2 linked regions of the Drosophila melanogaster genome follow. The protein of the gene in region 2 interacts with the protein of the main gene of each other region in a biochemical or structural test. Each region holds a gene or a part of one and is shown on either strand. Other genes may lie near its edges.

Region 1 (7,395 bases), on a different chromosome or scaffold from region 2:
GGGAACCATCCGATCTGCCGCCGTCGACCCTTTGCCTGCAGCTCACCCTCCCACCAGCCGGAGTCCGTCTTTTTACGGATCATTATTAATTGGCCTCTCGTCAGCGAAAGCTGTTCCGTGCTGGTTGCCTCATAGGGCGCGATTACTTGAGCAATCTCAGACCGCTTGGCACGCATTCCCTGCAAAATGATGACGAAAAAGATGTTGGTTCATTAAATGAAACAATAAATGAAGTGGTAACGGGCTGTGTCAACTATTTACGGGTGTCATGGAAGAGGTGCGTGACATGGGTCGGCTGTAGCTCTCGGCAGGCTCGCTGCTCTGTGTTTTGGACTGTGTATTTATCTGGGAAACTTCAGTGTCGAGGTCTTCGTGCGCCTCCTCGGCGCCAACGCCTGGGCTAGATATCGGCTGCTCGCTGGGCTCCTGAACAGGCAGCGGCTGGTAAACCTGCTCCTGTGCCTCCACGGGAGCAGCGGTGTAGGCAGCGTTGCCGTTTAGCGTCGTCTCCTGGGTCAGTGCAAGTGTAACACGGTAGCAAAAAGCACAGCACATGAAAAGCATTGGATTAGTAGATGGACGTGAGGGCAACGGTTAGACACGACTCTAGACTTCGGGATTGTAAACTCTTTACAAGTAAGATAAAGTGTTGGCCTGTATATTTAGCGTTTATATTCTCTTATATGGGAACTAAATTCACTTCTCTCTTATATAAATAATGTCGCTTACTTTTTTTTAATATGAAATTGTACACGATTTTGTATACATAATAATATTATAATTCTTGATTCTAGTTCCAATCAATTTAAAACGCAAATGGCCCCACACATTACTTAATTATGTACTATCTATCCACTTACCTGATCAAGAGATTCTACCGGTTCGGCAGCGGCTGTGCTCGCTGTGCCCACATCAGCCTTTTGGACATAGTTCGAAGGAAACATGCCCGTGCGGCTACCAATGGTACCTGTCCACCACTCACCCTCCTTCTTGATGACCATGACCATCTCACCGGCACTGAAGCTCAAATCGCCTTCCTCGGCGGACTCATAAGGATATGCGGCTATATAATACTCGACATCGCCGGCGGCAGTCAGATCTGCGGAAGCTGCCGGAATCGAGCTGGTATTGATATTGTCATTGTAGGTGTCAGCCACGGTGGCCACTTGAGCATCAACCGGGGCTTCGACAGCGGCGACAGGAGCAACTTCACCGACTTCTAGTTTCTCCACATAGGATTCAGGGAACCAGCCGGTGTGGCCATTTATTTCGCCAGCCAACCATCCCGGCTCGGCGTTCTGCTCCAATGGCACCAGGATAATGTCACCAGGCACAAAGGTAATCTCCTCCGCGTTGCGTGCGTTGAACTCGTATACTGCTTGATATTTCACGAATCCTTCTGGGGCCGGTCCCCCTAAGTCCACAGCTGGAGCGGCCAGTGCGGAGATATCATTGCTCGCAACTGCGTAGGGATCGGTGACAGTCGTACCCGTCTCCTCCCAAGCACTGGAAGAGCCTGTGTCCCAGGCCGACGATACACTAGTTTCGTTCTTTCGATTGTACTTCAATTCCAGCACCGAGGTGCGCTGCACATCGTATTCCTTGTACAGATCCTCGCACTTTGTGATTAGAGCGGAGAGCTCGGCCTTGAGCTCAGACATCTGTACATCATTAGTGTTGATGTCCTCCTTCTTTGACTCAATCTCTTTACTGATATTCTCGACTTTATCCTTTATTTGGTTAATAATTAACTGTTGAAAAAGGTAAATAGTATTTTAGAGAATCCGTTGAATACTAAAACTTTACGTATATGCCAAAGCTCACCTGCTTGTGGGCGAATGCGGCATTCAGTTGCTCCTGCTGCGCATTCTCCCCTCCCAAGGCAGCCCCGCTGGCCTTGCTCTTGGCCTCCCACTTGGCCCTCTCTTGGGTGAGCTGAAGCAGTTTAGCGTTCTGTTCCTTAATCCGCGCTTTCAGCTGCGACATTTCGGACATGGAAGTGTCGCGCTGGGTGCGCATTCCGTCGATAACGGTCTTTACGTTTGTCACGCCGGCACGAGTGTCGCAAATCCTCTGCGAAAGCTCCTTGATCTGTAATTAAGCCGAGTTAGTTAGATAGGCCAGCCATATAGATTAGTTGTACTTTAAGAACATTACTTTTTCATTCAGTGTGCTGAGCTCCACATTAAGCTGGGTGTTGTGTGCCTTCTGCTTTAGAACACGTTCTTGTTCCCTCTCCTTCTGTGCGTTCATTTCGGCAATTCTAGCCTGCTCCCATTCCTGCTGGCGCTGCTTCTCAAGCTCCCTGATACAATAGAAATTGTATACATTGTTTTGTCGCTCAAAGCAAGATAAAAGTCCTTACTTTCTGGCCGCCTCCTTAGCCTCCAGTTCCCTCTTGCGCTGCTCCTCCTTCTCCATCTCAATCTCTCGCTGGCGTTGGAGCTGTCGCTCTAGTTCCTCCTGCTGCTTACGCTCGGCCTCCAAACGAGCCTTTTCACGCTTATCAGCCTCTTCACGCTCCTTTCGCTCTCTCTCTTCCCGCTCCTTGCGCTGCTGGTCCTCCATAATTTTGCGCCTACGATCCAGCTCTGCTTGACCCTTAACATAATTCTCCTTTCGCTTGTCTTCGAAGGAAGCTGGTGAACGCGAAATCACAAGTGTTAATATATGGAATATATTCACATGTTTGGCAACGGAGTTAATTAAGCACTTACTTTGTCCAGGTAGTCCGGCTGTTGGGTCAGCATCCACGACTCCCACTCCGCTTTGGGATGAAACAGATGCGTGTCGGGAGGCCGGCTGTGAGCCAGGACGGGATACCACCCCTGAGACCGATCCCGGTCGCGATTTTATTTTGCGCAAGTTGGGCGGTACCCATTCCTGGGGCAAGGTAACCGGAATTTTCTCACCAGCCATGGCCTTCTCGCATAGGAACATGGCAAGAATAAACTCGTCGCAGTTCAGCCGTCCATCGCCGTCGATGTCGGACAGCGTCCAGATTTGGGCCAGCGTGACCTGGGGTAACTTGCTCTGTACGAGAACGCCGCGTGCCTGGGATCCAGTTAAGTAACCAGATCGGGTGCGATCATTAGCATTGAACACCTGCGTGTATTTACGCTTTTGGGCAGCTTGAACGGCCCATTCTCCTTGGTTGCTAAAAGGATAGAAGTTGATTGAGGAGTTAAGAACAGATACGATATTATATATATGTTTTTGCTAATATTTCAATAACTAAGAATATTTGAAATTTAATTAATTAAATTATCTCTTCTTTGCTACATTAATAATATTAAATCATTAATTCGATTCTAAGTGATGCTTACACAGACTCGATCGATGGCGCTCGCTCTGAGATAGACGTGTGGCGACTAGGTGGATTGCTGGTGGGGGGTGTGGGGCCAGACGGCACTGAGACTCCAGGCGGTGAAATGACAGTAGCCACAGCCACCGGTGGAGCCACAACGGGAACAACTGGAGCTACTGCCGGAACTATTCCCTTGAGTGGATCCAAAGGGCTCAAGGAGCTTGTGGAGCCACGTGGCGTCATCGAGGGGACATCGCCGGTAAGAGACGACAGCAGGCTGGGAGGAAGAACCTTGGGAACGTCCATGCCGCGCAACTTGAGGTTGATAAGCTTGCAGGCTATGCTGAACTCATTGATGTTCATCTTGCCGTCGGAATCAGTGTCCGCCAGAGCCCTGGAGATAAGAAAATGAGTAAGAATTAACACTCTTATCGGTGGATGATTCATGGGGGCGTAATATACATACCATATTTGGCCCAGGATCAGGGGCGGCAGCTGGGACTGCAGGAAGAACCCTTTGGCCTGGGCGCCGGTAACGAATCCTGCCTGCGGCTGGAGTGCCCTAAACTGTTCCTGGTACTTCAAACGCTCCCTCGGGGTCACAGCCCACGCATCCACCGCCGAGTTCATTTTGGGCAAACACTTTATCCTAGTTTCCACGGAAAGCTCTTCCTCTTTATCGTCCTTTTTCCGTATGCGTGTGTATTAGTGCGCTCTCTTCGGCTACTTTTGAGTACACATCAAATACAAACTCTTTCGCTCCGCACTCTTTTCGCCGCTCTCTTTACTACGTCTATCGCCTATTCAGTATCCACCACCCCCACAAATTTTCACAATGGATTTTTATGGTTTACCTATAAAGCATTTCCAAAAATATTAAGCGATCTCAATGGACAGGTTGTAAAGATAGATTGCCCCCTTTACTCGCTTTCTGAAGGTTTTAGTTTCTCTTTAGTAGGCGTTTTCACTTGTCAACCGCATAGCCACGAATTAACTGATAAGTAATGATGTGGTATGGTCCCCGCCAACGCACACGTTATTCTCTTATATATCCCTCTTAACTGTAATTTTGTTGCTTACTTTTCATCGGAACAAGAAAATTTTGTATTTGCGTAAATTTTAATCAATATTTTATATGATAGGATCCTATATCGACGAACGATAGGCTCCGATAGGTACGGACTAATAATCGAAGGAGGGTGACCGTCGCTTGTTTCTGTGATTATAGCAAGCAAGTGTTGAAAAGTACGGTGACCTTAAGTTGGATGTGACTATTCTGCAACGTTTTTGTTTTTAGCCGCTAACGGATTTTTAAATAAATGAAACAACTACTGACTATGAGTAATATATTAATTATATTACTTCTACAGTGAACCTCATAAAAATTATGTCGGCAGTATGATGCATTTAACACAATACGAAAATGTATACCTAACCAAAACATCAACAGATCGCAATAAACAAAATCGAAGATTAAAATTCGAATATCCAAAATTATAAGAAAATGTTAAGTACAAGTCAGTTAAATTATTTCAACTATTTTTTTCTTTTATTGTCTTTAATATTTCTATACAATTAAAAATGACAATTATTCAGAAATCTTTTGTTCCGGATTTAACGGAATTGTTAATAATAGCATCAATAACATTTGTGTATGAAAATGTCAAACAGTTTTTATTCGTTGACAGTTCATGACAGACAACCCTCTAATTGGCGTTTCATTAATTTAAAATTGCGCGATGGAAAAAGATGTATACCAAATTTGTATTCACCATCTATTTTCAAACATTGTTATATTAACTGAAATGACAAAATCACAATATTAAACAATTTTCTAACAAATTACGATTTTATACAAATGTGAATATATTTCCGAAACAAACTATTTGCACTATAACTAAGTCCTGTAATTAAGATCATGGTTCAGTATGAATGAGTTACAAATTTTATTAAGTGTGCATGTGATATATCGCACATTAGCTATCGAAAGTTATCATGAATCTGCACTGTTTTAAAGACGCAACTATATCGATAATATCGCAAATAGTTCTATTTCTATTTTACCGCCTCTAATTCTTTTATTTCGACCACGTGCTGCTATTGGTAATGTCCGTACCGTGAAATTTTTCTGAAACTCATGTAACAAAATGTCGGAAACTTCAGAGGACGAACAGACGCAGCTACAAACGAGTGACGAAGAGGAGGATCTAGGTAGCGAGGAGGAGCAGGAAGATGAAGATAACAATCATAAGGAAGGGGACAGCGAGGCGGCACTAAGTGGTGAAGATGATAAAGGCTCCGAGGACGACGCAGCCGAGGAACAGAAGCTAACCTGGAAAGATCTCGTATGAGCCCCACTATTAATTTAAATTAAAATTTAATCGAATGGCCATATTTCTTCAAAGGGTCTCAATGAGGCTTTGTGTCAAGCATGTGACGAATTGAAGTGGAAGGCGCCTTCGAAGATCCAACGTGAGGCCATTCCGGTCGCCTTACAGGGCAAGGATGTAATTGGCCTAGCGGAGACCGGTTCCGGCAAGACGGGCGCCTTCGCTCTGCCAATTTTACACGCCCTTCTCGAGAATCCGCAGCGGTATTTTGCCCTCGTGCTAACCCCCACGAGGGAACTGGCATTTCAAATTGGCGAGCAGTTTGAAGCCCTTGGTGAGTTTTCGCATAGTTTATGTGCTTTTAATTCGCAGTGATGTTAAACCTGTTTTGATTTTGTGTATCAACGAAAATATGAAATTATAATTTTCTTATTCGTCACTACCTCTGAGTAAAAAAACCTTCCCATTTATCGTATTCTTGAATTTCCTTCTGCCAAACTTATGCTAGCTCTGTTTTTTTCAGGTAGCGGGATTGGCATAAAGTGTTGCGTGGTAGTCGGCGGCATGGACATGGTAGCCCAGGGTCTTCAACTGGCCAAGAAGCCGCATATTATAATTGCCACACCGGGTCGCTTGGTTGATCATCTAGAAAACATGAAAGGTTTTAACCTTAAGGCTATTAAATACTTGGTCATGGACGAGGCGGATCGCATTCTTAACATGGATTTTGAGGTGGAGCTGGACAAGATTCTGAAGGTATTGCCGCGTGAACGACGAACCTTTCTGTTCAGTGCGACCATGACCAAGAAAGTAAAGAAACTGCAGCGTGCCTCCCTTAAGGATCCCGTAAAGGTAGAGGTGTCTAACAAGTATCAGACGGTTGAGCAGCTGCAGCAATCATATTTGTTTATCCCTGTCAAATACAAGGATGTGTATTTGGTTCATATCCTTAATGAGCTGGCAGGCAACAGTTTCATGATATTTTGCAGCACCTGCAACAACACGGTTAAGACAGCGTTAATGCTTCGTGCGTTGGGATTGGCTGCTATTCCGCTGCACGGTCAAATGTCGCAAAACAAGCGACTAGCTGCTTTAAACAAATTCAAGGCCAAAAACCGGTCAATACTCATTTCGACGGACGTGGCGTCCCGCGGCTTGGACATTCCTCATGTGGATGTCGTCGTTAATTTCGACATACCAACGCACAGCAAAGACTACATTCACCGCGTGGGAAGAACAGCAAGAGCAGGTCGCTCCGGCAAAGCCATAACCCTCGTGAGCCAGTACGACATTGAGTTGTATCAGCGCATCGAACATCTACTGGGGAAGCAACTGACACTGTATAAGTGCGAGGAGGATGAGGTGATGGCCCTTCAAGAACGAGTAGCCGAAGCACAGCGCACTGCAAAACTGGAGCTGAAGGATCTGGAAGATACAAGGGGTGGTCACAAGAGGGGCGGGGACACCCACGATGATTCGGAGAACTTCACGGGCGCACGCAAACGCATGAAACCGATGGGCGGCACTGGCGGTGGTGGAAGAAAGAGCTTTGGCAAAAAGAATTGGAGCAAGGGCAAGCAGAAGAGATAGGTCAGATCAGTCTCGATTTTTATTAGTGCTACTCTAAGAATAATGTAATAAAAGTTTTAAATAGAAAGTATAACGCAAATTTTACTTTATTGATATTTGTAATAATCAAATAGGAACAATAATTTGATAACTTAATTTATTCAATTATGTGCATCAATAATGAAGAGA
Region 2 (8,113 bases):
AATGTGCCTTCCGTGCGGTCCGGTAATTTCAAAGAAATCGTAGAAACCGACCACGTGGCTTCTGTACTTATGCTGATCGTGTAGGCTCATTTGGGAAAAGAGCATAATCTCATCGATACCAGTTTCCTTGTAGACCTGCGCCGACTTGGACACCTTGACGGCACAGTAGCGATCCATCTGGGTATCATAGCATAGCCACACGGTGGAGAAGTGACCCCAGCCCAGCTTTTTGAAGACATGATAGCGGTTTACGAATACATCGCCAATGGCCACCGGATGATAGCCACCGATAACATACTCGTTGGCGCTCTCCTGTCGATCAAATCCACTACCCTCAGCATTGTCATTGTTATTCTGATTGTCATTGCTCTGCTGTTTCATTTCGAACGGCATGCTGGATTCGCTGCCGTAGCTAAGTTCGCTATACTTATTAATTTTGGCCGGCTTTCTGCCGGCAATTCCATCATCGGAGAGCGATGATGGCATTCGTCTTTTCTGTTTGCACCTTTTTTTACATATCTTTGGTCGCTTTGCTCTTTGTTCGATCTGCTCCTGGTGGTTGTAGGATGGGGATGGCTTTTGTTTTCGCGACAATTGCTTTTGATCCTTGGAACAGGATGGCTGTTTGACCGTATTCGATGTATCAGTCATTCCATCTTCCGACATTTTGCGTCCCATATCCGCATCCACATCCATCGGCACATTCGACTGTTGCGTTGATGCGTTTCCCATTTGAGTCACGCCACACGATTCCATCTGTTTGCGAATCTTTTCCTGGAAGGCCCTCTTTGAAGCCCTGATAATGGCTGCCTTGCGTCTGATTACTCTCGTTCGTTTCATTTTAAACATGATTACTTCACTTGGATTGCTAGCTGCCGACGAATGGTTTAGATGTTCTTATTAGTTTTTCTTGTTTTGGCGAAATTTTCAATTCGAAATACGAGTACGAGTACGTGTACGTGTGTGTAGTATTATTTATTTTTTATCAACCAAATGTATGAAATGTCGAAACTAAACAACGAATTGGAAAATACAACTGCCTTCGATGAACTAAAATGAATGGATGGGGCTAAACGAAAAAAAATGTTGTCCGATAATCTACGCAAAGCTTACTTTTCCCCAAGGAAGTTGGAAATTTTTTTTTTTTTTTTTTTTTTTTTTTTTATTTGGAACCGAAAATTTTGATTGTGATTGAGGTTGTGTGAGCACGCGATTGGTGTCTACAAAATGGTTTAAATTTGAAACTTACCTTCTGTTCCTGGATACAAATACTTGGGTTTGGAAATTTTACCAAATATGTATAAACGTAGAAAAAGGCTAATTTTCCTGCCCTTTTACTTTTGTAAAATATTTTCAACGGTCTTATTTTGGTAAGTTTTTCGGAGCTGTTTTCATGGTGCTGGCCAAATGTTAACTGGTCGTTTTACTGATACGAAAGTCACAAAACACAAAATGTTATTTTCAATGCCCACTTGATCAGAAAATTTAGAAACTCACAGATAGCAAAGTTTCTTAGCATTTTAATAAATATAATTTAAATTTATATTATAGCTCTACATACACACCAGATGTTCAATCAGATTGACATTTCTAAAGAATTTCTTTCTTAAATACTTTATAATACTTTGTGATGATTTTCATTTATGCGCATTGAATCGTTGTGGGAATCTGATCGGCTGGGATCATTTATCACGCCATGCAGCGGATGTAGCAGGATATGCCGCACGATATGATGCTGCATAAAGTGTCCTCTGATCGGTGATCGTTACACAAACCGCATCCTGCGCAGTTACTTTTTATGGGACAAAACCCCATTGTGTGGATGCTACCAAATGTCCTGGAAATCGTAACGAATCCACGCATTCCGACCAAGGTATCCCCGCAGCTGTCCGGCGGAATCGTGTGATCCTGTCGCCCTGCCATCGCCGGCACCACAAAGTTCGCGCCCATGTCGCGGCCGCTGTAATCCTTCGATTACATCGTTACCTCACGGCGATAATCTTGGCGGGGCTGTATTATGGCGTTAGAGTGGGCGTGGCAACATGGATCTCAACTTGGGACTCTCAACCTTCTAGCTTTTATAGTTCTCGACGTTCATACGGACAGACGGACATGACCAGATCGACTCGGCTATTTCTCCTGATCAAGAATATATATATATATATAGATTATATGGTCGGAAACGCTTCCTTCTGCCAGTTTCAACGAATCTTACCCTTACGAGTAACGGGTATAAAAAATTGGAACTTGCATTATTATTGGCTCCCACAGAGAAGGGTATATTATTTGAATGACAACAACGTTTCAATGTAAATATATATTAAAATAATCTAGGTAAACATGAAAACGAAGAAAAATAAAAACAGAATTTAGTGGTATCTTTATGTTATCAAAATGAATATGATTGACAAAGCTCAGAGTCCGCAGCATTCTGCCATTTATCCTGGGCTTCCTAGATCCCAAAACCGAGTCGTAAGAACGTCTGTATATACTGTAGAAGAAACTTATATTAATAAAAGAATTTCCCTGGGAAACGAGGAGTTTATCAGTTTACCTTATTCTGTTAGCGACGGATCCTCTCCCAATGGCCCTGGGTTGAGGAATCCTGGGCGGGTGGGACGCCTAGCAGGAATGCGGCAGACTGCGAACGGCCAAAGCATCGAGCACTGGTCAAATTCGGACAATCCAGCTGGGTTTTTTACCACTGCAATAATGAAAAACTTTCAGAAGTCCTCAAGGGATTGCTCATGGTAGAGAGTGACATCGCTTTTGCTTTTAATAAAAGAATTTCCAAATTTTTGTGCCTGCAGGACAAAAATGATTATGTGTACCTTTTCGACAACTTGCTGAGGTGCTGGACCCTTCGCCCGTTCGAAGACTACCGCAAATCTGCGAGCGGGACGCCCGCAATATTCGTCTAGCTCCTTGCCCCATCCTTTGTCATGCCCTTGATCAGTCAAGTCAAGACGGTATAGATTCTATCGCCAAAAGGTGCTTCAAAATCGGATACTGCTGCTTACCTCATAGATTAAGATTTTATTGTTGGGACTCGGTTTTCCAAATGATAAAAACAATAAAAAAAATGTTTGGAGCAAATCCTAAAGTTGTTGTTTCTGTAGCACATTGAGTGTAAATGTCAAAAATAGTATTGAAAAAGAACAAAGTTAAAATCATCGCCTACTTAAAAATAGTATTGCATAGGAACAATGTTAAAATTATCGCCTACTTATTATCCAGCACTTAAGCAAGATAATTAATGTATATATATTTTTAAAAATTAACGAAAGAGAATGCTTTAGTCCCGTTCTCCGACTATCAGATACCCGTTACGCAGATAGTGTGAGTGCAAACGTGAAATTTAATAATTTTTTCTGGGGTGTGTTCTGTTACTCTACGAGTAACGGGTATAATAACTTCACATTCCAAATTAAATTGCTATAAAAAATAGATTTCCAATTAGAGAATATATCCAATTGGATCACTCGATAACACCTGTTAACCTTACGTATGTATTATGATCTAAAAACTTGTTATCGGCAAAATATAAATGAAGCTGATAAAATAAAATAAATTTGTTGTTCCTTACAAAGTTATACTACATTTACCTAAATAATAATTACATTCGAATATTATGAATAAATACGTGTAACAGTAGGATCGTGCGATACAAATATCGATTCGAATGTTGAATGTGGTATCGATGTTTTTTCACTCCACGCAATTGCATATTTGCCGTATATATCGGCATTAATTGTATAACTTTCACACCTCTACCTTGTCTTGCAGTCAGTATTTAGTCAAACAAAAGAAAAATAAACTACATTTGTTAGAGCTTGATAAGAGCTCAGTTTGTCTTCAGTGTGTGTGCCCGTCATCTAGCAACAAACCGACGTGATTATTTCGAGTATGATAGTACTTAGCGTACATTTTTGTTAAATTGCAGTAAGCATACGGGCTCCAAATATCTTTCGATTCATTGGGAAAAAATGTAAAGTGCTAAAGTGCGTGTGTGTGTTCGCTTGCAAATGCAATATATACATACAAATTTTGTTTATTTGATGTAAAAGCATCCGATTAATTTACCGTTTATCTAATTATGTTCTTGTTTATGTGGCATATTGCGGCACTGCAAGTGTGCGCGCTCATCTGTGAGTGTGTGTGCGCGAGTGCTGCTGTGTGCGTGTGAATTGGGAATTACCGCTACTCAATTTGATGTATATACACCGAATTTCGTCAATTTCATGGCATTGTCCCATTGTTATCAGGCGCAAAACAGTGATATTTAAATGCGATTTTCGATTTTCATGCACACACAGGGGGAGGGAAAACAAGAGCAAAATTGCTGTACATGTATTAGTCAGTGACTAATTGTTCAAAGCGCAACTCAACATGGCTGACTTTTTCTGTGGTGAGCAGCGATTTTTGATGATAATGCTGCCTCTTTTCTTTTCAAATTCTCTCTCTTGATTCGCTCTCACTCTCTCTCTCTCTCCCTCGCTCACCTCAAATAAAATAAAGTGCTGGTAATTTTCCCGTCGTAACGGCAAGTGCAAAAACGCAAGAAAACGAATAAAAATACCGATACAAAGGATTAATCGTAGGAAATAATTTCGTCTATATATTTTCTTGCACAAAAGCGATTGGGGATACAATAAGAGACTCGGTGTTTTATTTTAAGGGCGTTTACATCCATATGTACATACATATAGGCCTTTATCTTTCATTTTTTCATCCGGTGACGCTGTCACTTTCTATCAACAATAAAATAACGCCCACAATTTGATTTTTCCTCATTCTTGCCGCATCAGTGCTGTCCATAACTACATGTTTTTCCAAAATCTTTTGTCTTTCGTGCAGCTAAACGTTCCAATGGAAACCGAATCTTAAACCAGAAACCGACTAAACTCGAACGCAATTAAACAACAATAAATCCTCGAAACAAATCAAATACAAACTGTTACCAAGTGTGCAATTCAAGAAAACATCGTATTGGCATTGTTTTCGCAAAGATACATTTACGTTGTAAAGGTCTGTCAATAACTAGACCTCACTGTAGTAGTAAAGATGACGCAACCACTGCCCATCCGCTTTCAGGAGCATTTACAGGTGAGTAATATTAAATATTTTGGATCTACCATCATTACATATCCACATACGTACAACCCACCAATATGCCACGATTACCTACGATTATATCCGATTCATAAGCTCCCCACTTTTCTTATGAAAATTTCACGGTTTCCAGCTCTAATTCAACGTGTAAACAGAAAATATGGGGGCTTAGGTCGAGTTTCTACTTTGCTATACCTTCTATTCAAGTCTGTATACAGTGTATTTTCTATAGAACTAGTTATAATACAAATTTACATCTAAACTTAAGCAAAGTATTGCGAATATTTAATAGTAAATGTGGGTCAATCCAGGCCAGTTCAATAATTAATAATGAATGATTATATTGTGTAATGAGTGCGTATGCTATGATTTTCGATTTATCAATTAACACACATTTTCAATCTCCACTACGGACAGCTCACAAATGTCGGGATCAACGCCAATTCATTTTCATTCAGCACGCTCACGATGGAATCGGATAAGTTTATTTGCGTGCGGGAGAAGGTGAATGATACCGCCCAAGTGGTCATCATTGACATGAACGATGCCACCAATCCCACGCGGCGTCCCATCTCAGCGGATTCGGCTATCATGAATCCAGCTAGCAAGGTCATTGCGCTCAAAGGTAACTGAAACCGATGGTCCAGTCGATCAGAATGTCCGAAGAGGATCAGATTTTAGCTTAAAGTAACGTAGGCTTAGTAAACAGGTCCGCTTGTTATTACAACGTGTCTAGAAAACTTAAAACCTCACTTAAACTTTAACTTGAATATCAAATAGTAAGGAAAGAGATCAAAGTTTTTTTCCGGTCGACTGGGATAATGCATTTTTGAACATGTATAACTTTAGAATATTTCTTTTAGCGCAAAAGACGTTGCAGATCTTCAACATTGAGATGAAGTCGAAGATGAAGGCGCATACCATGAACGAGGATGTGGTGTTCTGGAAGTGGATCTCCCTCAATACGCTAGCTCTGGTCACAGAAACGAGTGTGTTCCATTGGTCCATGGAGGGCGATTCGATGCCGCAAAAGATGTTTGACCGGCATTCATCGCTGAACGGTTGTCAAATCATCAACTACCGCTGCAATGCCTCCCAGCAGTGGCTACTCTTGGTCGGCATTTCGGCACTGCCAAGTCGCGTTGCCGGTGCCATGCAGTTGTATTCGGTGGAGCGTAAGGTGTCCCAGGCGATCGAGGGGCATGCGGCCAGTTTTGCCACGTTTAAAATCGATGCCAACAAGGAGCCGACCACGCTGTTCTGCTTTGCAGTTCGTACGGCCACTGGGGGCAAGCTTCATATTATCGAAGTTGGTGCTCCGCCGAACGGCAATCAGCCGTTTGCCAAGAAGGCTGTCGATGTCTTCTTTCCGCCGGAAGCACAAAATGATTTCCCTGTGGCTATGCAAGTCTCTGCCAAGTACGACACCATCTACTTGATAACCAAGTATGGATACATACATCTGTATGACATGGAGACGGCCACGTGCATATACATGAATCGTATATCGGCCGATACGATCTTTGTTACCGCACCGCATGAGGCAAGTGGTGGCATCATTGGCGTCAATCGCAAGGGACAGGTCCTCTCCGTGACCGTCGACGAGGAGCAGATCATTCCCTACATCAACACCGTTCTGCAGAATCCCGATTTGGCCCTTCGCATGGCCGTGCGCAACAATTTGGCTGGTGCCGAAGATCTCTTTGTGCGAAAGTTCAACAAGCTCTTTACAGCCGGCCAGTATGCTGAAGCGGCTAAAGTTGCTGCCCTGGCACCCAAGGCCATTCTGCGTACGCCACAGACGATCCAGCGTTTCCAACAGGTGCAGACACCAGCTGGCTCCACGACTCCGCCGCTGCTGCAATACTTTGGCATTCTCCTCGACCAGGGCAAGCTGAACAAGTTCGAGTCTCTCGAGCTGTGCCGTCCCGTCTTGCTGCAGGGCAAGAAGCAGCTGTGCGAGAAGTGGCTGAAGGAGGAGAAGTTGGAATGCAGCGAGGAGTTGGGTGATCTGGTCAAGGCCTCCGATCTTACACTTGCCCTGTCCATCTATCTGCGCGCAAATGTGCCCAACAAGGTTATCCAATGCTTTGCTGAGACTGGGCAGTTCCAGAAGATTGTACTCTACGCCAAGAAGGTCAACTATACGCCCGATTACGTGTTCCTGCTGCGCTCCGTGATGCGAAGCAACCCGGAGCAAGGAGCTGGTTTCGCCTCTATGTTGGTGGCCGAGGAAGAGCCACTGGCGGACATCAATCAGATTGTGGACATCTTCATGGAGCACTCCATGGTGCAGCAGTGCACTGCATTCCTGCTGGACGCCCTCAAGCATAACCGTCCCGCCGAGGGTGCCCTCCAGACGCGCCTGCTGGAAATGAATCTGATGTCTGCTCCGCAGGTGGCCGACGCCATCCTGGGCAATGCTATGTTCACCCACTACGATCGGGCCCACATTGCCCAGCTGTGCGAGAAGGCTGGACTGCTCCAGCGCGCCCTCGAGCACTACACGGATCTGTATGACATTAAGCGGGCCGTTGTGCACACGCACATGCTGAATGCCGAATGGCTGGTCAGTTTCTTTGGCACGCTGTCGGTGGAGGACTCGCTGGAATGTCTGAAGGCAATGCTTACGGCGAATTTGCGCCAGAACTTGCAGATCTGTGTGCAGATTGCCACCAAGTATCACGAACAGCTGACCAACAAGGCACTGATTGATCTGTTCGAAGGTTTCAAGAGCTACGACGGACTGTTCTACTTCCTGAGCAGCATTGTCAACTTCTCACAGGATCCCGAAGTGCACTTCAAATACATTCAGGCGGCATGCAAGACTAATCAGATTAAGGAGGTGGAGCGAATTTGCCGTGAATCAAACTGCTACAATCCCGAACGGGTGAAGAACTTCTTGAAGGAGGCCAAGCTGACGGATCAGCTACCATTAATTATTGTTTGTGATCGTTTTGATTTCGTGCACGACTTGGTGCTTTACCTGTATCGTAACAAT

The links.
Region 1: the proteins of Chc (region 2) and Dap160 interact in far-western blotting, tested with the Drosophila melanogaster proteins (one study listed by BioGRID).

The regions. Positions count from the first base shown.
Region 1 is NT_033779.5:21,137,852-21,145,246, forward strand, and holds the start of Dap160 (dynamin associated protein 160), read right to left. Parts: upstream 4,497-7,395; 5' UTR 4,388-4,496; intron 4,162-4,387; 5' UTR 3,938-4,161; coding exon 3,774-3,937; intron 3,702-3,773; coding exon 3,327-3,701; intron 3,158-3,326; coding exon 2,718-3,157; intron 2,640-2,717; coding exon of another isoform or gene 2,628-2,639; coding exon 2,366-2,627; intron 2,306-2,365; coding exon 2,158-2,305; intron 2,092-2,157; coding exon 1,825-2,091; intron 1,752-1,824; coding exon 861-1,751; intron 511-860; coding exon 262-510; intron 180-261; coding exon 1-179. Other genes in the region: pths (porthos), read left to right, coding at 5,455-5,652, 5,713-5,971, 6,161-7,227.
Region 2 is NC_004354.4:15,831,116-15,839,228, reverse strand, and holds the start of Chc (clathrin heavy chain), read left to right. Parts: upstream 1-3,738; 5' UTR 3,739-3,942; exon of another isoform or gene 3,943-4,001; intron 4,002-4,316; exon of another isoform or gene 4,317-4,408; intron 4,409-4,474; exon of another isoform or gene 4,475-4,597; intron 4,598-4,857; 5' UTR 4,858-5,064; coding exon 5,065-5,106; intron 5,107-5,529; coding exon 5,530-5,737; intron 5,738-5,975; coding exon 5,976-8,113. Other genes in the region: CG8565 (uncharacterized protein), read right to left, coding at 1-849. UniProt on the Drosophila melanogaster protein: Clathrin is the major protein of the polyhedral coat of coated pits and vesicles.